Linked DNA regions of Arabidopsis thaliana. The protein of the gene in region 3 interacts with the protein of the main gene of each other region in a pairwise test. Each region holds a gene or a part of one and is shown on either strand. Other genes may lie near its edges. The genes, in order: SESA1, AT5G11700, AT5G42220 and AT3G26700.

Region 1 (3,217 bases), on a different chromosome or scaffold from region 3:
CAAACCACAAGCTGAAGAATCCAAGACTTGAGAAACAAATTTACAAAAGCCCATGTTCCAATCAAAACTGTTACCAAACATCTGAAATAGATCTAAATGAGCGTTGGTATAATTGAAACTTACCGAAGGCAGTAGGGACCTGGGAATCAAGTTCAGACATGAAACTTTGTTGATCTGAGGGGCAAACGATAGAGAAGCTGAGACCTGAACATGAAGGCCATCGGAGGATAAGAATTTGGCACACTCATAAACAAATAATAAACAAGTGCTACACCACAATCGAGAAAAGCAAAATAAGTATTAATAAGGTCTTAGAAAACAGTTAAAGAACACAGGGAACGCATAATACACATAGCAAGATAAAACACACAATCCAAATACAAGCCATGTTCATCTAGAGATTAGTGATATATAAACCAGATGGGGAAACTAAAACCTCAGCTAAGAAACCAACTCCAGAATTATCATTTGCAACATAAGATTCGAAATGAGCAAGATGCCATCTTCATAAATAAATTGTATGTTCTGTATCCTAGTCCCAGGAACCTAGTTAAGCAGGTCCAGCTCAATTACAGGATATGATCTAAACAAATTACATCAATCCACAGCAGATCAAAGGAAGATCCAATTTTCTAAAGTCAGCAGCAAATTCGACAGATCCTAAACAAAAGCTAGCGTACAATCTTCAGGGACATACGAAAGACGATATACCAATCTGACGAACGAAAACAAATCAACAAACTCCAAAATTATATGGATCGGGCAATGAAAACAAACTTCACCTCGAAATTACCGAAATCAAAGAAATAGCAAAACGCAATTTGTGAAATCTGCTTAAGAAGATGACAAACGCAATCAGAAGAAGATAAGATTTTACCTGATCCGAAAAGTAGAGTTTCGTGGATCTGATAATTGGAGAAGAGAGAACGAGCTGAAACCCTAAATTCGGATAAAGTCTGCAACTTCTGTTGTTTCGGTGGCGAGAACAAAAATAATGAGAGGAAGAGGAAAATATCGTCGTTTTTGTCTCACAGTCTCTTTAGCAGCTTTTCTTTAGATATTTATTTTATTTTTTCCATGGATAGAGAGAGCTAGGCATTCCGGTTATTTGGAGATTTTGGAATTTCAATTTTGCGGTTTGGTATTTTATTTTATTTTATCAATTTGAACGAAACAGAGCTTTGTTTTGGTTACGATGCGGTGGATTTTGGTTCGGTTTAGAGTGATATATATTTGGTACCAAATTAAACCAAGATTCGTTTTCGGTAAAAACAAAATTTGATTTTTAAGCATTTTTGGAAAAATTAGTGTTATATATATGAGATTTCTTAATCAAAATCTCACTTTTATCCGATTTAGTGGTAGTTCATAAAGTGGTTTCATGTATATGATACCTGAATAACCAACATATGTATTTTAAGAGACACTTGGAATAATAATTCTAAATATCCTAACTACTCGTGTCCGTATGTTTTGTCACGGTGAAACGTGAGAGGACTAGTTTTTGTCACCCGTCCATAACATTCTTAGACATACATTACTTTGGGAGTGAAAAACATTAAGCTTATCTTTATCCATATATTGTCTTACCATCAATAGACAATATCCAATGGACCGGTGACCTGCGTGTATAAGTAATTTTTCAAGATGCTAAAACTTTTATGTATTTCAGAATTAACCTCCAAAAACATTTATTGACACACTACTACTCTTTCCGTATTGACTCTCAACTAGTCATTTCAAAATAATTGACATGTCAGAACATGAGTTACACATGGTTGCATATTGCAAGTAGACGCGGAAACTTGTCACTTCCTTTACATTTGAGTTTCCAACACCTAATCACGACAACAATCATATAGCTCTCGCATACAAACAAACATATGCATGTATTCTTACACGTGAACTCCATGCAAGTCTCTTTTCTCACCTATAAATACCAACCACACCTTCACCACATTCTTCACTCGAACCAAAACATACACACATAGCAAAAAATGGCAAACAAGTTGTTCCTCGTCTGCGCAGCTCTCGCTCTCTGCTTCCTCCTCACCAACGCTTCCATCTACCGCACCGTCGTTGAGTTCGAAGAAGATGACGCCACTAACCCCATAGGCCCAAAAATGAGGAAATGCCGCAAGGAGTTTCAGAAAGAACAACACCTAAGAGCTTGCCAGCAATTGATGCTCCAGCAAGCAAGGCAAGGCCGTAGCGATGAGTTTGATTTCGAAGACGACATGGAGAACCCACAGGGACAACAGCAGGAACAACAGCTATTCCAGCAGTGCTGCAACGAGCTTCGCCAGGAAGAGCCAGATTGTGTTTGCCCCACCTTGAAACAAGCTGCCAAGGCCGTTAGACTCCAGGGACAGCACCAACCAATGCAAGTCAGGAAAATTTACCAGACAGCCAAGCACTTGCCCAACGTTTGCGACATCCCGCAAGTTGATGTTTGTCCCTTCAACATCCCTTCATTCCCTTCTTTCTACTAAATCTCAAACAAACCCTCAAAGCGTATGAGAGTGTGGTTGTTGATATATACATGTTGACACTTGACACATACCACACCTCATCGTGTGTTTTATGATAAATGTAAGCTTTTGGATGTTTGAGGGTAATGTAAGCACTACTTAATAAATAAGAGTTTTGTTTATATTTTTTTTGTTTGTTACATTGCTGCTCTCTAAAAAGTCATGACGCTTACATAAAAATAACTTTACTCCAGTGAACTGGAAAAATTATAGAGTACCGCTCCACCTCCACGGAAAGATCATAGACTAGTACTACCCAGAGATATAAATCGTAATTAAGACTTCAAATGCGTAGAGACAAATGGAATTATGACTTGGCAATTTGATCTTTCTTGATATTTTTAACAAATGGTTTACGTATGTCTTTATCAAACAAAAAAAAGTAATAAATGTGTTTAATTATTGAGTTGTGGCTAATAGCACAATTTTAAAAAACTGATGTCCAATTTTTTCTTTTAAAAAAAGCTATAACGAAGCATGTAAAAATGAACACTTAAAAAATAAAAGTTTCATTTACGAATCATGTACAATTGTGGATTTGAGATTAAGAATCCATCTGAGAATAGTATACCATTTGTGATTTGTTTATGAATGGTATGACACCATAAACGACTATACTACAGTTTGAGATTCACTGATCACTCATAGATTTTTGAATAATTCATTTGAAAATGATTTGAGATTTT
Region 2 (4,787 bases), about 13 Mb from region 3:
AACAAGCCGTTGTGCTTCAATTGAATCCCCTGGTCCAGTTAGATTCAAGAAACCTTGTCCATGGACTCCAAGATTTGCATTTGACCGAATGACAGATGATCCCTATATTTGGATAGAGAGGTCACACACAAAAATTAGATGCGACGCTATGTCACAAATTACTTTTAAGGAGAAAAACTATGACATGAGTTTGTGAGTACCCTAAGAACGAATAAATTGCTAGCCTCAAGCATGGAAGTTGAAACAGTTGTATCTCCTCCTCCTCCATCTAAATGCAATTCTGAGTTCCACATCAAGAACATCTTGACAGTCATGCGTAATGCCCCGTAAACCTGATGCATACCAATAAACATAAACATGATGAACAAGTGATTAACATGAATACCAAAACAGTACATGGAGTGTGAAGAACGGCCAGGTAAGCCAAGAGTGAAGCAGATCTTAGCAACAGAAAGAAATATTCATATCTGACGTAGACAGACACAATGCTGTTGCATCCCCATTTTCTAAAAAGGTAGAGAATCAGGATAATACTCACCTTGATGGTAGAATCACTCATTAAGAGTTCTTCTGCCAACAACTCAAATACTGATGTACCATAATGAGCTAATCCGAAGCTCAAAACACCACCGCACAACAAACTAATTTGTCCTTGAACCTACATATTGAGTTCTGTTTGAGTACTCCAATTCATCAATTTTGCAAGATAATATGCTGAAAAACAAGAGTTCCACTAAATACCTTTTAAGAAAACATATATAGAGGCGACACAACAGACACTAGATATACAAAATAAAAGATAGTAATCTTTGTAAATACGATCACAAATAGTGCTAACATAAACACTGCAAGGAGAAAGATCAGTAAGCCTACAAAGCCCATGTACTGGATATTTATTTTCTAAATACCTGGACACGACTCCATAACAGAGGACAAGTTGCGCGTGCTTTATCCTGAATATAAACATTGGTCCAAAGTGGCTGGAATGGAAATTCTAAGAGAAGCGTATACGTGTCTGTTGTCTGATTGTAGTTGCTAACGAAAAGGCTTCGGGGAACAGCATCATATAGAGTTCCAGCAGCACCCGAGTTATCTGGACATCCGATACTGTATCCGCCTGTGTTTAGGAAGATAAGATCAGTTTACATGATTGTTAATGTTAGGCAAGCACGTATTGGTTATACTGGCTCAAAACAAAAACCGTGAATCAAATGAGCAAATGTAAACAAAATAACCAAGTAAAGAGAATCGAACCATGCACAAAAATCTTCGGGTCATCATGCCTACTAAAAATATCGACAGATACTCTTCCACCACCCCCACCACCATAACCACTCCCACCACATGCACTGATCTTTCCAATTCCAGTCCTGCACTTCAAATAACAGCAAAGCAGAGGATGCTAGCTAAAATCAATTTACCAAGAATCTAAGAAGACAAAAGGCTCACTACCAACCTTTTAAAATAAGCAAAGAAAATGAGTTGTTTCATGTGTATCATACAACAGCAGACAACACATTTTGGAGAGATATGAGCAAGATCTAAATTCTTTCGAAATATATATTGTCATAAATAAGATTCATGCTTAATCACATACTTCCAATTGAGAACAGAAACTCACATTTCTAGAATATTATTATGAAACGAAAGTGCAATTTTGTATCATTTCTAGAAACTCAACTTGTCCTAAGGTAAGATTATGATCTTAAGAAAATATCAGGACCAAGCAAGTACTGTAAATTTTGCATTCCCTGCTGACTATAAGTAATTTAAAATATATGCATTTAATCTAATTAACAGCTAGTGAAAGAGAGCATAGAAACGAAAGTTGATTACATCTTGTATGCCTTGATGTAGATGCTGCCACCAGATCCACCACCGCCTTTGGCTCCTCCATAGCCTCCGTTTGCCAAAAGGCTTCCGTTAACATCCAGAAGCTGCAGAATATCCATCTTCACTTTCCCACCTCCTCCTCCTCCATAATCAATCTCTCTACTAGTTGACCCTCCTTTACTACCATAGCTCCACGGCTTCTGCAGAGTCGACCAAGAGTATGCATCACCTCCCCACACATCTTCAGGTAGCTTCTTAGTGTCAGTCAAACAACAAGCGCCTCTACCACCATGTCCACCACCAGCACCATCAATCCCCTGCGGTGTCCCACTGGTCTGTGGCGGAGGGCTCCCAGCTAACCCCGTCGTGTTCACCGCCGACCCATTAGCAAAGCTAGCATTACCAGCTGTAAGCTCCAATGTCCCAGCGACAATTGTAGATTCCGCTCCCAAAGAGAAGTTTCCAGAAACATTGATAGCTATAGAACAACCAGGGATCGGGCAGTGAAACCTAACACCAGGCAGGATGATAAAATTCCCCTTCCCAGCTATATACACATCGTGCGTAAGGTTCAAATCGGCGACAATCTTACAAGTAGTATCCAAAAACCCAACGCCGCCGAGATCCTCGCTACAAGATACCGACGGTCCATGCGGTGGTGGCGGTGGCGGAGCAGGCGGAGAGTAGTCCTGATGGAAAAGTAACGACTCTGAATCTGAGTCCAAATCGGAATCAGAACCCGATTTCGGTTCCACAATGGTAAATCGATAGCTTGAACTAGGGTTTACGGCCAAAACCGCAAGAGCGACCAAGACGAAGACGCAGCAAAATTGAAATCGAGCCATCCACTAGTATCAAGAGTCATCACAGACGAAGTCTACTAAGGTTTTCGATTCAACCCCAATTCGGATCATTGAGAAGAATAAACTGGAAAAACCAACCTCAGAGACACAAATTCACAAACAAACCTTCTCTTCTAAATCTCCAACACACAACAACACTTATGCATACATCAACATACGCATGTATACGTATTTTAGTCGTCTCGTTGAAGAAGAAAAGCGCATAAACCTTCACCGAAAAATGGGGTCTTAGAGAGAGAAGTGGTGCTTTTCCTTTCTCGGAGGAGAGAGAAAGAGAGGGAAGGGAGCTTCCAAGAAGAAAAGAAAACACAGGTTGGAACGGAGAGTAGTTACGATCTGGTACGTGCAAGTTCACCGTAATCAGGTAAATCTTAACAAATCATACTACGCCACGTCATTCTTTAGATTGCTCTAAAAGGAAATACTACTGTGCATCGTGGTTCACATGGAACTGGATGTGGCAGCGGTATCCTAATTTATTTTGACATCGAATTAAATTAGGACACGTGTCTAACTACGTTTAATTACTCGCTTTGCTGTTGGATATTAAGGGGTTAATGACTTGGTTTTTAAAATTTTTAAAACGTCAGGAGTTACGTTCGGACATTGAAAGGTGTTAAGAATTGGGCTTTGATGGGCCCTGTTTGTGAAGGAGTTTGATATGGACGCGCCAAGATTTGAGCGTGAGTGTTTTTTGTTTGATATTGAGAAACAGAATGCGTGTGACCTGGACGAAGTAAAAACAAAAATTAAACAAATCTGGCTGGCCCAATAGAAAACTAGCAGCATTATCAACACCAACATTTTAATCCATCACACCAATCTTTCAATCACTTCGATTTTCACGTTCTAAATGCAAAATGGTATTTTTTTTCTAATGTCAATGTATGGTTCACCCAAAATGATAAGGTACTGTTGTGTATGCTAATTTCTAAACAACTTTATAGCTTCAAAGCATATGAAATCCAAAATTAGATTTTAGTGATTAGACTACATGTATTGGGGACACTCTATGTTCAAAGTAAGAGATTGTGCATGGTCAGCAAAAACTAATTTAAACTAGTGGGATACGTGATGTATAATCTGATATTACGTGGTTTATTGGTTGGTACCAGAGTTAAAAACAAATGCAATTTGACTCGTATATGACTCATCATGCTGACTTCTTCAATAAGACAATTGTAGTAGATATATTTAATATAGAAAAATGGGTATATAATGTTATAAACTTAATCTTATCTGACCAACAATATTCAACTGGATTATATTTTTTCCCCCAGAAAAGGATTTTATTGCATTAAACTTAAAACGTTTACAAAGTAAGGTATAGAAGAGAGTAATATGATCTTCACTAACAACATTCATTACTGGAAAAATTATATATATAATCCATTCGGAGCCATTTCGTTGAAGTGCTTTAAAGTATTCAACTAAATTATTTCGTGAAGTGGTTCGGATAAATTATATTTGGATAATATTTCGAAGAATTTACCTTAGGTCTTAAAACTCGTTGTGTTATTTACTGAAACGAAATGGATTCAATTTTTTTTTGTTGTATACATGTAGGTTATTGAACAACCCACCAATAGCCGTGACTATCGGAGACTGCGGATCAGGCTACGGTCAGGTCGAATTTACAGTCATTTGACGCCTTTAAAAACTAATTACGCGAGAAAATCGGTTCTAGCTGCTAACTTTTTATTTGTTGTTGCCTTTCATTGAAAAAAAAAAAACTCATAATACAAAGACGAGCCATCTCTGATTAGATCTACACTTCTCCTCGCACCAAAATTTTGCCAGTTTTCGTTCCTTTGTTCATAACATTTTCGCGGATTCCAAATGGATTTCATGAAGGTCTTCGATCAAACTGTTCGAGAGATGTGGGTTTTCCGTTTTCTCTATCGATCCAAATCCGTAGATCTTTGGTTTTATATATTTTTTCGATTGATCTCGATTCGTTTTCAATTACAGAAAAAGGGAGGTGAATCTGAAAGTTTTGAAGGTCCCTGAGATGGAGCAAAAGGTGAATTTATTTGATTCGTATCCATATGTGCAAATTGTATCCATGATTACTAGGCAAAATGATCGAAA
Region 3 (7,657 bases):
GTTTTAATTGCATTGGTCGAATCCTTGATGTTTTTTTTTAACCCATATTGTGTACGGGTTTATGATATCTAAAGTCAGCAAGACACCAATAGCTTGTATAGGTTAGTCAATAACTCCTAGGGGAAACACCATATTTAATGGCCGTTTCAGTTAATTTAGATATCTTCTTTCTTTTTTTGAGTTCAAAGTTAGTTTAGTTGTCTAAAGCAACAAAATAGCTCCAATATTTGTATCATTAAATTTATTTATATACATCATAATTATTTTTGTATATATAGACATAATTGAAACATGTTTTATTATAATCTATATATACATTTTTGCAGCCATTTTGTGAAATAAATCCTTTAGTTGTGACTTATTTACAATGGCTGCCACTGGATTTTAATGTTTGTTTTTGATAATTAAAAAGAAAATATTCGAATTAAATATTTGACATTTAACAATCTTCCCAAAATATCTCCACATTAACTACACGATTATTTACTAAAATAATACTTCCAAAATATTTAATATCATTTAATTACTACAAAATTATCATTTTTGATATTGATTTTCTCCATAACTATAACAATTCGATTATAATCATCAAAGCGCAGAGATATAATCTGATAGCATTTAATTACTACAAAATTACAAAATATTTAGACAATGATTCATAAACATATCATAAATAAGATCAACATTAATAAAATAAATAGTTTTTTTTTTACAGGACGGGTTTGACAGGACGATACTTAATAACATTTGTAAACTATAAAATAAAATTATTTTATAGATAGATACAATTTGTAAACTTTTATATATACTAACTTTAAAAAATAAATTGTTCCCGCGGTATACCACAGGTTAAAATCTAGTTGTTTTTGTATTTTAACTAATAATGTGGACTAAACTTTAGGTGGAATACCTTTAGTTAACGGATCCGCTTTCATGAAATTTCTACCTATATGCTTAACTGAAACCACATCATCTTGAATCCTTTCTCACACAATATGACACTCTATGTCTATATGCTTTGATTGTTCTACTTTTGTTGTTGTTTGCATATACACTGCCGCAAAATTGTCAGACTAAACTTTAAATGATCTTTCGACACATAACCAACATGTAGTGTTTTTCACAGACTGTTCAAACCTAATGAATATAGTGTTTTCCCTAACCTAATGGCCGGTGTATTCTACAATTTTGAAAGATTTGCCTGAGTGACAATAAAAAAATCTCAAGCTTGTTTCTATCTCTAATCTCTTATACTGCAAATGTTAGAACGAATACTTTGGCACGAAAAATTCGTACTGAATCGCTTCATATATGTAAACAATTTTTTCTAAAGTTGACTCATTTGAACATTAATATAATTTGATGACAAAAAATAATAAAATAATAACCATTATTAACGACAACAATAACATAGATTCGTTTCAGTTATATGTAAACCATAATCTTCATGATTAATCCAGTTATGTGTAAACTTAAATACTTAAATATTAGAAATCAAAATTACATAATAAAACAGAAAAAGAAGCACATGTTTAAAATTTATTTTAGATATGGTTAAAAAGGCCAGGCCCAGCTTTATATTATTAATAGAAGAGTCCACATTTAGAGCGGAGACTAGGCCTATATTCGCGGAAGCGTCAATTCAGGTTTTCAAAACGTCGTCGTTGTATCTTCCTCCTCTAGATTCTTCTTTTTCTTTTCAATTTCACCAAAATCCCGAGTTCCCGACACAATCGCCCTTGTTCTTCCCCTTTAACTCTGAACACATCAGGTTTGGTTTCGTGTTTCAACTTTGAGATACTTCTCTAGATTTCAATCGGAGAGTCTTTTGTTCCGCCAAAGTTTCAATTTTTCAATACCCCACGACGGCAAATAGGTTCGTTCTTCGTTGCCTTCATGGAATTTGATTGTTTTTTTCTTAAATCTTGATCCTTTTTTTCCGTATCTATAGGCTCTGTTTTTGCCTTAGCAGATTTGTTTTTGGGTTTGGACGGTGAAAGTTTTGATTTTTGAACAGTGATATTACAATGACTTGCATTTATTTGGGTCTGGGTCTTTTGTTTGTGGCTTTGGATGGTGAAAGTTTTTGATTTTTAGCATTTTTATTACAATGACTTGCATATATATAGGATTTGGTCTTTTGTTACAATGACTAGCATTTAGTTATGTCATTTGTTTGTGTCTCATTGTTGATTCTGTTTTGTATGATCAATATCTGGAAATGTGTGTGGTAAAGGTTTTGATTTGAGTACCCTAGAGATAATATTGTTTATTATGAGATCATTCTTTTGTAAGATGAATTTACAAGCTTTATGTTTTTTAAATTTTAATACTTTAGGGTTCATGGAAGATCAACCCATTAACCAGTGCTCTAGTAGCACCAATGCGTCGGAGAAAACTCCAGAATCAACCCTTGAGCTTAACATCAAAACGTTAGACTCGCGGACGTATACTTTCCAAGTGAACAAGAATGTAAGAAATCTTCTTCTTCTTCTGCTTCACCTGCATATTTGCTTAAGTTTAGTTTGCTTATATCTGATACTGCTTAGGGCTTGACTTGTTGCAGGAAACTGTTTTGCTATTCAAGGAGAAGATTGCTAGTGAGACAGGGGTGCCGGTTGGTCAGCAGCGGCTCATTTTCCGAGGACGGGTTTTGAAAGATGATCATCCTCTCTCGGAGTATCGTATCCTAGTGCTAGCGACTTTGTTAACTTGTTGATTTTATGTTATAGTGTAGCTGTTTGTTGCATTATGCCATGTGCCCTGTGTATAAAATGCATGTTAACCAAATCTGTCGGAAGTCTAGTTTTTGATTGATCAAGTGCATCTCTGCTTTTGTGAGTCTTACACCGTAGAGGAAGCTGTAATCCAGAAAGAGAACTATATATATATATATACCTTCGATAAGCTTAGTTTTAGTTTATGTCTGTCGTTTCCTTCCATCGCTTTTCTACTTTCAGTATAGTTGATAACTTGACATCGTCATAGATTTGGAAAATGGGCATACTTTACACTTGATTGTGAGGCAGCCAGCAGAATCAGCTCCTTCCTCTGGTACACCTTCACAAGGGGCAACTGCAAATGATGGTAATCAAGTTATTTTTTATCCCCTTTCTGAGTTTTAAAAGAGCTGTTAACACAACCATCATCTTATTTCAACTTGTTATTTAATTCAACAGGAAATAATACAAATGGTGGACCATCTCGAAATGGAAGACATGTCTCCCACAGCGTAGTTCTTGGGTCTTTTAATGTTGGAGATCAGACAGAAGGCATTGTTCCAGACCTCAGCCGGGTAATCCCCAAGGATTTGTGATATTGTTTGGCCTATGGGATGGTTTGATTAGTTAGGCTAACCTGCTTTTAATTTTGTGTTGCTAACTACTAAGGTCATTGGAGCAGTTCTAAATTCTTTTGGAGTTAGTGGACAGCTTCCTACAAATCACAGTACTAATGGCACGCAATCCTCTATGCCCGTGAGTTTTTTTCTCGTCACTCTCTATTTCGAATTTATTCCATATTAGTGCTTAGTCTACATTAAGGATTGTTGAGAATCAGGTGTTGTTACTATTTGATGTGTAAGGTTTCATATTGTCATCAACTATTGCCTGTTTCTAAACTCGATGTTGCATGCGCTTTTATTTTTCCTAGTCGAATCAGTCGTCTAATGCACCTCCTGGAAATACATCTGATGGAGAGCCTGGCATTGGTGGTCAAAGCCAAGCTACGGGTCATTCACAACCTAGGCAAGCATTTCCTGGTGTATCATTTCAAACATCGATGCCTCGTGTAGTTCAGATTCCTGTTACAGCAGCCACAACGATTCCTATCCCTTCATTCTTAACGGTAGTTCTTAGTCACGTAGTAGTATTTTGATCTTGAGACTAGAGCTTTAATCTTGTCATTTTACAATGTAACTCTCTAATTCTGCAGCCTATTCCGGATTCCTTAGACACTCTAATGGAGTTCATTAATCGGATGGAGCAGGCATTATCACAAAATGGTATTGTGATCTAAGTTTTATTGTCATATTGGATAGAGAACACATAAATAAGTTAATTGGATGTTCCTCCAGGCTATCAGCCAGATACCTCTTCTGCTGGATCCGGAGGGCGACCAAGGGAAGAGTTGCCTAGAAATAGACGAGGTGCAGCAACACCTGAAGCACTCTCTGTTGTCCTAAGGAATGCACAACATTTACTGAGTGGTCTCGGTGTCTCTTCTTTATCGGTAAACACCTTCTTCACACTGCTTATTAATTGATTCCATTCTTTCTCTTTACAAGAACTGTTATGTATATGGTTACCATGCATTGTCATCTAATTATGTGCTGTTTGTAATTTGCAAAAACATTGTTGTAGCATATTGCGGGACGTCTGGAGCAAGATGGTTCATCTTCAGATCCTACTCTAAGGTCACAAATCCAGACAGAGGCCGTGCAAGTAGGTCTTGCCATGCAACATTTAGGGGCCCTCCTACTGGAGCTTGGACGCACAATTTTGACATTGAGAATGGCACCGTCGCCGGTGCGTTTTGGGTCATTCCTTTCGTGCATTTTCCTATTCATTCTTGACATGCGGCTCATTAACACTTTGATCTACAGGAATTATCCTATGTGAATGCAGGGCCTGCTGTGTATATATCTCCATCAGGACCGAATCCTATTATGGTTCAGGTAAGCTTCTAGTCTCATCTTTTTTCTAAATTAATTTTCTACTTTTATGTAATTATTACTGTATTTTGCAGCCTTTTCCTCACCAAATCAGCCCTCTCTTTACTGGTGCTACTGTCTCATCAAATCCACTAACCGGACCTGTTGGTTTAGGAACTGCCCAAAGGCACATTAATATTCACATACATGCTGGTGGGTGAAGTTCACTTTTTTGCTATTGGACTTAGCTGCACAATTCTTCTCCATTAAAATTCATACTTAATTACCAGGCACATCAGGTTCACCTATGTTGTCATCAGTTGGGAACCAGCGAAGCAATGGAGAAGGAGGACAAGGAGACCGTGACAGCAATACAAGTTCAGTTCCTGCGGCTGTTCCATCACACTCTACCGGTGAGAACGTTTCTGCTGGGGTTCAACCTGGTTTGGGTGATGATGTTTCAGTTGCTCAAATCAATGCAAGGATAAGAGATATGGTAAACATTATGCAAGGAAGAGACCAGATTCCATCGGGTAGGTTTCCTGCTGACTAAAGTTTTACATTGTGGACGAAATGTTTTCAAGCTCTTCTTCACGTGTCAATCAGGAATAGAATCTCTCGAGAGGGATATGTCTACGGGCCATGGTGTTGCCACTGCTATGCCTGAGCAGCCTACCAACATTGCAACTACTTGCGCACCTGAGTCGTCTAGTGGCTCACTGCATGACTTACCATCTGAGAGGAGCAACTCAGTGGTATGTCTTCTCTGCAATCAGATGATTCTTTATTTTATGTTCACCAGGGTTAGCCTACCACTAATTTTTGTTTTTTCAACCAGTGTCAAAATGAAAAAGATCTTGGTGGAGATTTAGAGCATCCAGCCCGAGCAAAAGATACCTCTTGTACTACAGGACAATCATCAGCTCCGTCTGGAGATGCTACCGGTGATGCCAAAGAAACCAATAAGGCTACTCCAGAGGTAGCTACAGCTACACCACTTGGATTGGGGCTTGGCGGTTTAGACCGTAAGGTAATGAATCAGTTGAAAAATAAGCGTCAAGTTGCTGCTGCTTGTTTTTCATTGCATAGCATATCCACAAGTGTCATAGTTCCAAATGCTTACAGTCATAGTATGTTTTTTTTGGTTAAAGAAACGAAGCAAGCAGCCGAAGGTATCAGGTAAGACTGAAGATAGCGGGACTTCAGCTACACTTGAAGGTGTGCAACAAAGCAGTGGGACCAGTGGTCAGCAGCTTTTGCAATCTCTCTTTTCTGGTAGTTCTCGTTCAGATGAGACTGGTCTTAGACGCGGGCAAGGTTCAGATGATCGTGTAGATGTCTCAAGTGCAATGTCTCAGGTCCTGGAGAGCCCTGTATTGGATGGATTGCTAGCAGGGGTATCTCGACAAGCTGGTGTTGATTCACCAAATATGCTGAGAAATATGCTCCAGCAGTTTACCCAGAATCCACAGATCATGAACACAGTCCAACAGATTGCGCAACAGGTGGATGGGCAAGAGATAGAAAATATGATGTCAGGTGGAGCTCAAGGCGAGGGCGGCGGCTTTGATTTCTCTAGAATGGTCCAACAAATGATGCCTCTAGTCTCACGTGCTTTTAGCCAAGGAGGGCCATTGCCTCATCCCGCAACAATACAGCCTGATGATCGTCAACCTTCTCAGGTACATCTACGAGTGTTAGGTTTGGATTTCTTGCGTTTTTGATTTAGGAAAAAAATGTGGCTGAAGAAAAACTGATACTATTATCGACTGAGTAGGATTTTGTTGTTGTCTTTTTTTAGTTGTAGAAAAAGTAACACCATTCTTACCTAGGTATTACAATAAACGTCATTGTCTCTTGTTCTATCTCGTGTAATGAATGTTATTTTTCTACTTTTTCCAAATAGGTAAATGTTCAATCCATGGCTCAAATGATTGAGCACTCTGATCCACCAGAGGATGTCTTCCGTGCAATGGTCGAAAATGCTGCGATAAGCCAAGACGAACTAGTGAACGAGCTTTGCTGTGATGAAGCTCTTTCTCAAGTAAGCATCAAAACTGACTAGTTTGTTTGTTTAATAAAAATAAAGACTCCTTGATCAGACTTGTATTTGAGTGTTGCAGGAATATGCGGAGTTGCTAAGACGTGATATCGAAGGCCGGCTAAAAGATGATCAAGGTCTATAAGATATTTGGTTGAATTGGTTCTGTAAGTGTCATATCTTTGAAGTATCTTTGTTTATTTGCTGAGATCCCTCACTTATGTATTAAGAATTAGGGTTTGGGATGGTCTATACTCTGCTAAACATAAGCAAACGTAATTTATCTGGTCTCTAAAGGGCCGATTCAATTTGATATTTCCATCTTTAACCAGAGATTACTCATAACTCTCGACATTGACCAAATTACTTGGGAAAAAGGTGTCCCTTTATAACTGACAATTTTGGTTTTGATCGAAAATTTGGCTAAAGGGCTACACTAACGAGTGACTGTAGCAAATTATATATTTAGTTTAATTCCTTAACAAATAGGTAATAAAGATTGCACAATAAATATGGAATGTAAACTAATAAATAGTAGAATAATTCAGAAAAATGAACTGTCACGACAACCCCAATAATAAGATGTTATATATTATTTAATTTTTATAAAAAATTATATATTATAAAATTTACTATGAATTTTTAATATGTTTAAAATTACAAAGTTGTTGTGTTTGTTTTGTTGTACAAATTTATAATTTTGGATTATGACAAATTAATAATATTGTTTTATTTTATATTTAATTTCTAAAAGATTATTAAAATTTGTTTTATGGTTTTACGTATTCAAGGGTTGTGAACAATTGATCACCACCGGAAAAATTAAGGATGACGACAAAATTGAACTAAAACATCATGGGTTCAGAGATTTTCAAGATCAGCGAGCCATGACTTAGCGACATCGGAGATCATGAACATTCCTAAGACAAGCTGTCTTTTGTGATGAGTTTTGCAAATAATTGTTT
Region 4 (5,284 bases), on a different chromosome or scaffold from region 3:
CAATCTCTCCCGACATAAAATCAGACCAAACATGATTTTGATTTTGCAATCTGTTCCAAAGACTGTTTGTTTATAGTTCTGTGTGCCCACAAAGGTTTTTTAGCAAAACTAGGGACAGAGTAATAAATCAGAGCATTGAGTTTATTTTCACTAGTAGCAAATGGAGTATGTAGGAACTATACTAGTCCAAGACCAAGAGTGTTGTTATCCAATTGGAATCTTTGATCAAGACTTTAGAGACCAACTTGGTTACTATATCTCCCCTTTGGCAATAAAGGCTATCAAAGCATAGGTAGGTTGAAGCTAAAGGTCAAAATCTTTCCCAAAATTGGCTACTTTATAGGAAAAAGTAGCTCTGAGTTTTTCTGTACAAACATAATAATTAGAGTTCTTCAGACAGGGAGTTATCACCTTCTGTTAGTTCAACAGTTAGCCAATTGGAATCTTTTCATCAAAACTTATTCAACCAACCAACTTGGCAATAAAGTCTTTCAAGCTAAGTTCAAAGCTTTTGTAGAGAGTAAAATGTAACAAAGAATCACACAACATTCCACTCTTTGCTTCCTTTATATCAATAAATAATGTTTTTACAAAGTTATACTTTTCTGCACTCATTGTCAAAAAAATAATTGCTGAAAATAATAACCTCCAAAGGAAGTGAAAAAGGAGGGAAAAAACAAACAAACAATAAGCTTCAGCTGTTCTTTATACACTTAACACAAAACAGCTGATCAGTCTTCTTCTTCTTCCTCCTTAAGTTCTCTGATTGGTTCTTGTCTCAGAGAACTTATATAATATATATATATATATGTATATATATGTAAAAAGATGGTTCCTTTATAATAATCACTTGGTTGCTTTAAAAAGCTGACTTCCAAGAGTAACAGTTGGAGTACCTTCACCCATTACTGTTGTTAAGCTCACTTCTTTATCCAATATTCTTTCAAGCTCTGTCACAACAAAACTCATTGTTGGTCTCTTCTCACTTGATACATCAACACATCTTAGTGTCAATGTAATAAGTTCCTCAACTCCTTCTGCTGTGTATGTACCTCCTAGTCTCTCATCAATCATCATTGGTATATCTGCGTAATCCGTTAAGTTTTGCATCTGCAACTCCCAATGCATACAAAATGAGAATCAAAATAGATTACATTGGCACGGTTTTGAGTGTGATTACATACCCAATCGACTAGAGTTTGCGTTGAGCTTGAAGGGGATGGTTCTGATGCTTCTCTTCCACTTACTAATTCCAAGAGGAATACACCAAAAGCATAGACATCACTTTTCTCTGAAAATCTTTTGAACTCTTGAACCCTGAAAAAAAAAGGGGACAATCTGAGAAACTTTGATACTAAAAAGAAGCATATGAGAGCTTAGAAGGTGAAATCTTTTTAATTTACTCTGGGGAGAGGAAAATCTGGTCTGCAACAATGTGAGACGATGTACCAACATCCTCTCTTCCTAAGAAGTTACGGACTCCTGCATCCGCAACCTTAGCAATGAAATTTTCATCCACAAGAACATTAGCGGTTTTGAAGTCCTTGTGTATCAACCGAGGACTCAACGAGTGAAGATGTGCCAAGCCTAGAGATAACAAAAGGGTATATGCAAGATCAGGACACAAGCTAGAGCTGGCTTCAATGAGGATTTTGTAGAGGATTTACCTTTAGCTGCTCCTATAGATATTGCAAGCCTATGTCTGAACTCTAGTCTATTACCAGGTACTTTACCACCAGCACCTAACAGAGGAAAAGACCTAAACGATGCTTACATCGTCCAAACTCATTTCTCAAACTGATTAAATACCAAATGAAAATAACATTAAGGACAGAGAGTTACCGTACAGGTGACTGGAAACACTTCCATTAGGAACATACTCGTAGACAAGAAACTGTGTGTTGCTTTCTTGGCAAAACCCCAAAAGAGTGACGAGATTACGGTGATGGATAGACGATAGATAACGAACCTGAAGAAATAAACCATATCCTCTCAATCAATACACTTGGTCTAAGAAGACTAAAAGCAAACACTTGAACAAGATTAATTATAGAAACCTCGTTAACAAATTCTTGAGTAGGCAAACCAGGTCTTTTCTTGATAGCTACAAGAACACCATCTTGAAGCAAACCTTTGTAAACCTCGCCGAATTTGCCAATACCAATAAGACTTTTATTGGTAAAACTCTTGGTGGCTTGAGCAAGTTCCTCCATTTCAAATCTTCTAGCTTCTCTCATTGACAACTCAATTGCAACATTTCTTCCTTCTGAACTCACACAAACATATAACAAAAGAAAAAAAAGTCTAAATCATTTTGATATCATCCAAGAAAGTCAATAGAGAGAGAGAGAGAGGAATAGAATTGATGGGATTTGTGATTTACCTTGAGTAGATGGATCAGAAGAGCCAGTCTCAGAAGTTCTAGACAGATTCTTACGACGAAAGACACAAAACCAAAGGAGAAAAACAAACAAAGCAATCAATGCAAGAGCTCCTACAGCACCACCAATGGCAGCTGCAAGAATTGCTGACATTTGGAAAACAAAACTGCCTTCTCTCTCTCTTTCTCTTTTCCTCACCGATGCTCCAAGCTTCTACTACCATGCGATAACCCTGGAGAGAAAGAATAAAACAAGAATGTCGGCGAAAAGAAAAAAAAAAAAACAGAAGAGACAGTTTTAAAAGCAAACAGAGGAGCTTGAGAGGTAAAAAAAGAAAAGGTGTCAACTTTGTAAAAATCAATCAATCAACATGCAGTAAGTATTTTTTAAAAGAACCTTGACAGATCTCCAGAAAATCTCAACTTCATCGGCGATTAAATATCACACAAATTCAACAAAATCGATGACGTGATTCCCCACATTCTTTTTTTTCTCCACATTCAATGAAAAAAATTCCTTATATCGGCAGATTCAAGGAATCAAATTATTTTTCTAATCAGAAACAAGAAAGCTTGGTGTGAAAACGGAACAGAGAGCAATGGAAACATCAAATCAAACCGCCGCAGTTTCTTCTAGAACAACTTGAAGGTAAAAGGGTAAGAAGAAGAACAAGAAGAAGAAATCAAGTCTTGTGTCGGAACGCAGACAATGCCGACAGAAAGTGACATCGTTTCAGACAACAACTCTCTCTCTCTCTCTCTTTCTTAAGACTCACCGAAAATTTTTTACTTACTTAACTAAGAATCAACAACGGCAACAACAACAACAAGAATCAAACTTTTTACTTTGGTTAGTTTTTACTCTTGTGCAACTACCAAACCCATTTGTTTAATTTGGTGAAAAAAAAGGAAGGAATAAAAAAAGAGAACCTTTGAAGACAAGAGTAGAAGCAAGTGGGGTACTTGGCCAGTTTGCAATTACAGCGAATGGGAACTTTTTTTTTTTTTTTAAGAGAGAAGATTCAGAAGGAAGAAACTTAAGACCGCCGCCGTGAAACGTAGTTTCCGCCGCCGCAAGTTTTGAAAGGAGACGAACAAGACCACCACTCTGTCTCTGCCTTCTTCTCTTTTCTTTTTATTTTACTCCGCAATTCTCTCTGTTTATTTTTTCTTTTTTCTTTTTTCGTATGTGTCCTTAAAATGGTTTATTTTTATTACTTTAATAAATGTGTACTTCAATATTAGACTACCAAAAACAAAACAAATAAGATTGTCAATAAAAATTTATTTTTCTCATAAATTAATAAGCAACCAATGATAGATGGGATTCATAACTACAGAAATTTATAATTCTTTAGACTTCATATTTTTGTTTAGTCAATCAATCACATAATTATATTGGAATCACAGCTTTTTCTGCACTATCCTATTATTCTTATGTTTATTACAAAAATATAAAAGGATTATGTCATGTCATAGATTTACATTTAGTTTAAAACCTTTATTTCTAATATTTGAAATATTGGCATAATATTCAGTTTAGGAAGAAGAAGAGCTTAAACTTGTTATAACTCTTATCAGTTGATTTGTTAATTCTAAGCTTAATCTAAACATTAAGAGTCAATTTATTAATGGGAAAAATGTCAATTAATCCCCCAACTTTCAAACAATGATTATTTTATACATCAACTTCGTATGCGGCCGTTTAAAACATGAACTAAACGTTGACTAACTTTTAAAACATGATTATTCGTTGACCAGGCCAAAATAGACATGCCGTTATCAGTCATTAACGGAACTTCTAACATCCGTTATCATCCGTTAACGACTTTATTAGTCAAGTTTTAAATTGTGGCCATTTTAAACACCGACTTTATATGTGACTATTTTAAATATGAACTAAGCGTTGACTACCATTTAAAACATGAGAAATTCGTTGACCAAGCCAAAATAAACATGTTGTCATCATTCATTAAAAGAACTTATAAAATTCATTATCACTTGTTAACGACTTTATTAGTATCCCTAAAACGACTTTGTTTTGAGAATAATCAAAAGATTCTAAATGAAACCCCAGTTCCCCAAATCTATTTCTACAACCGCTCAAACAAGACGAATAATCTTATAATGAGTCTTCAATTTGCTTCCATGATTCCCTTTAAAATTTAAAACAAATATATAAACGAAAACACCTTTATTTGCTTCCAATTACTGGCACTGCGATTATCTCTTTATCAAACTATGTTCTTGGGTTCTGCTTAAAACTTTTGATATGGAGATTTTATATGGAAAAAATCTTTGTGTTCTTTCGATTATTCTCAAACGACGTTGTTTTGGACAGATTAACAGTCATTATTTCTAGGTTCTACTGATAAAGACATATCTATTTTGGCCTGGTTAACGAATTTTTCATGTCTTAAATGGTAGTCAACGTTTAGTTCATGTTTTAAATGGCCAAATAAGAAGTTGATGTTTAAAATGACCACAATTTGAAACTTGACTAATAAAGTTAACGGATGATAACAGACGTTAAAAGTTCCGTTAATGACTGATAACGGCATGTCTATTCTGGCCTGGTCAACGAAAGATCATGTTTTAAAAATTAGTCAACGTTTAGTTCATGTTTTAAACGGGCACATACGAAGTTGATGTATAAAATAACCATTTTTTTAAAGTTGGGGAATTAAATGACATTTTTCCCATTTATTAATCATATATTTGTAATTTAGTAAAATCTAAGTTTAGTAAAAGAATTTTTATTTTATAATTCACCATTTTAATACAAAATTATAATTAACAATGTTATAAATCAAAATAGAATATTTAATTATGTTTCATACTAGTGTTTCTGATTCTTATAGGTAGATGTCACATGACTTACATCTTAGACTGCTACTAAATTTT

What was found.
Region 1: the proteins of AT5G42220 (region 3) and SESA1 interact in a two-hybrid assay, tested with the Arabidopsis thaliana proteins (one large-scale study listed by BioGRID).
Region 2: the proteins of AT5G42220 (region 3) and AT5G11700 interact in a two-hybrid assay, tested with the Arabidopsis thaliana proteins (one large-scale study listed by BioGRID).
Region 4: the proteins of AT5G42220 (region 3) and AT3G26700 interact in a two-hybrid assay, tested with the Arabidopsis thaliana proteins (one large-scale study listed by BioGRID).

Annotation. Positions count from the first base shown.
Region 1 is NC_003075.7:13,605,366-13,608,582, forward strand, and holds SESA1 (seed storage albumin 1), read left to right. Parts: upstream 1-1,963; 5' UTR 1,964-1,997; coding exon 1,998-2,492; 3' UTR 2,493-2,666; downstream 2,667-3,217. Other genes in the region: AT4G27130 (Translation initiation factor SUI1 family protein), read right to left, coding at 124-160. UniProt on the Arabidopsis thaliana protein: This is a 2S seed storage protein.
Region 2 is NC_003076.8:3,768,446-3,773,232, forward strand, and holds the start of AT5G11700 (ephrin type-B receptor), read right to left. Parts: upstream 3,005-4,787; 5' UTR 2,679-3,004; coding exon 1,837-2,678; intron 1,371-1,836; coding exon 1,255-1,370; intron 1,118-1,254; coding exon 909-1,117; intron 659-908; coding exon 539-658; intron 333-538; coding exon 201-332; intron 103-200; coding exon 1-102. Other genes in the region: AT5G11710 (ENTH/VHS family protein), read left to right, coding at 4,536-4,576, 4,668-4,719.
Region 3 is NC_003076.8:16,870,619-16,878,275, forward strand, and holds the start of AT5G42220 (Ubiquitin-like superfamily protein), read left to right. Parts: upstream 1-1,619; 5' UTR 1,620-1,876; intron 1,877-2,338; 5' UTR 2,339-2,343; coding exon 2,344-2,472; intron 2,473-2,566; coding exon 2,567-2,684; intron 2,685-2,988; coding exon 2,989-3,087; intron 3,088-3,179; coding exon 3,180-3,295; intron 3,296-3,389; coding exon 3,390-3,476; intron 3,477-3,651; coding exon 3,652-3,846; intron 3,847-3,933; coding exon 3,934-4,003; intron 4,004-4,075; coding exon 4,076-4,230; intron 4,231-4,361; coding exon 4,362-4,526; intron 4,527-4,603; coding exon 4,604-4,675; intron 4,676-4,746; coding exon 4,747-4,864; intron 4,865-4,941; coding exon 4,942-5,184; intron 5,185-5,257; coding exon 5,258-5,406; intron 5,407-5,489; coding exon 5,490-5,681; intron 5,682-5,802; coding exon 5,803-6,333; intron 6,334-6,557; coding exon 6,558-6,695; intron 6,696-6,774; coding exon 6,775-6,837; 3' UTR 6,838-6,859; exon of another isoform or gene 6,860-7,114; intron 7,115-7,483; and 1 more.
Region 4 is NC_003074.8:9,807,919-9,813,202, reverse strand, and holds AT3G26700 (Protein kinase superfamily protein), read right to left. Parts: upstream 3,622-5,284; 5' UTR 2,778-3,621; exon of another isoform or gene 2,614-2,777; 5' UTR 2,535-2,613; coding exon 2,384-2,534; intron 2,267-2,383; coding exon 2,058-2,266; intron 1,970-2,057; coding exon 1,843-1,969; intron 1,743-1,842; coding exon 1,668-1,742; intron 1,588-1,667; coding exon 1,404-1,587; intron 1,318-1,403; coding exon 1,185-1,317; coding exon of another isoform or gene 1,111-1,184; coding exon 847-1,110; 3' UTR 529-846; downstream 1-528.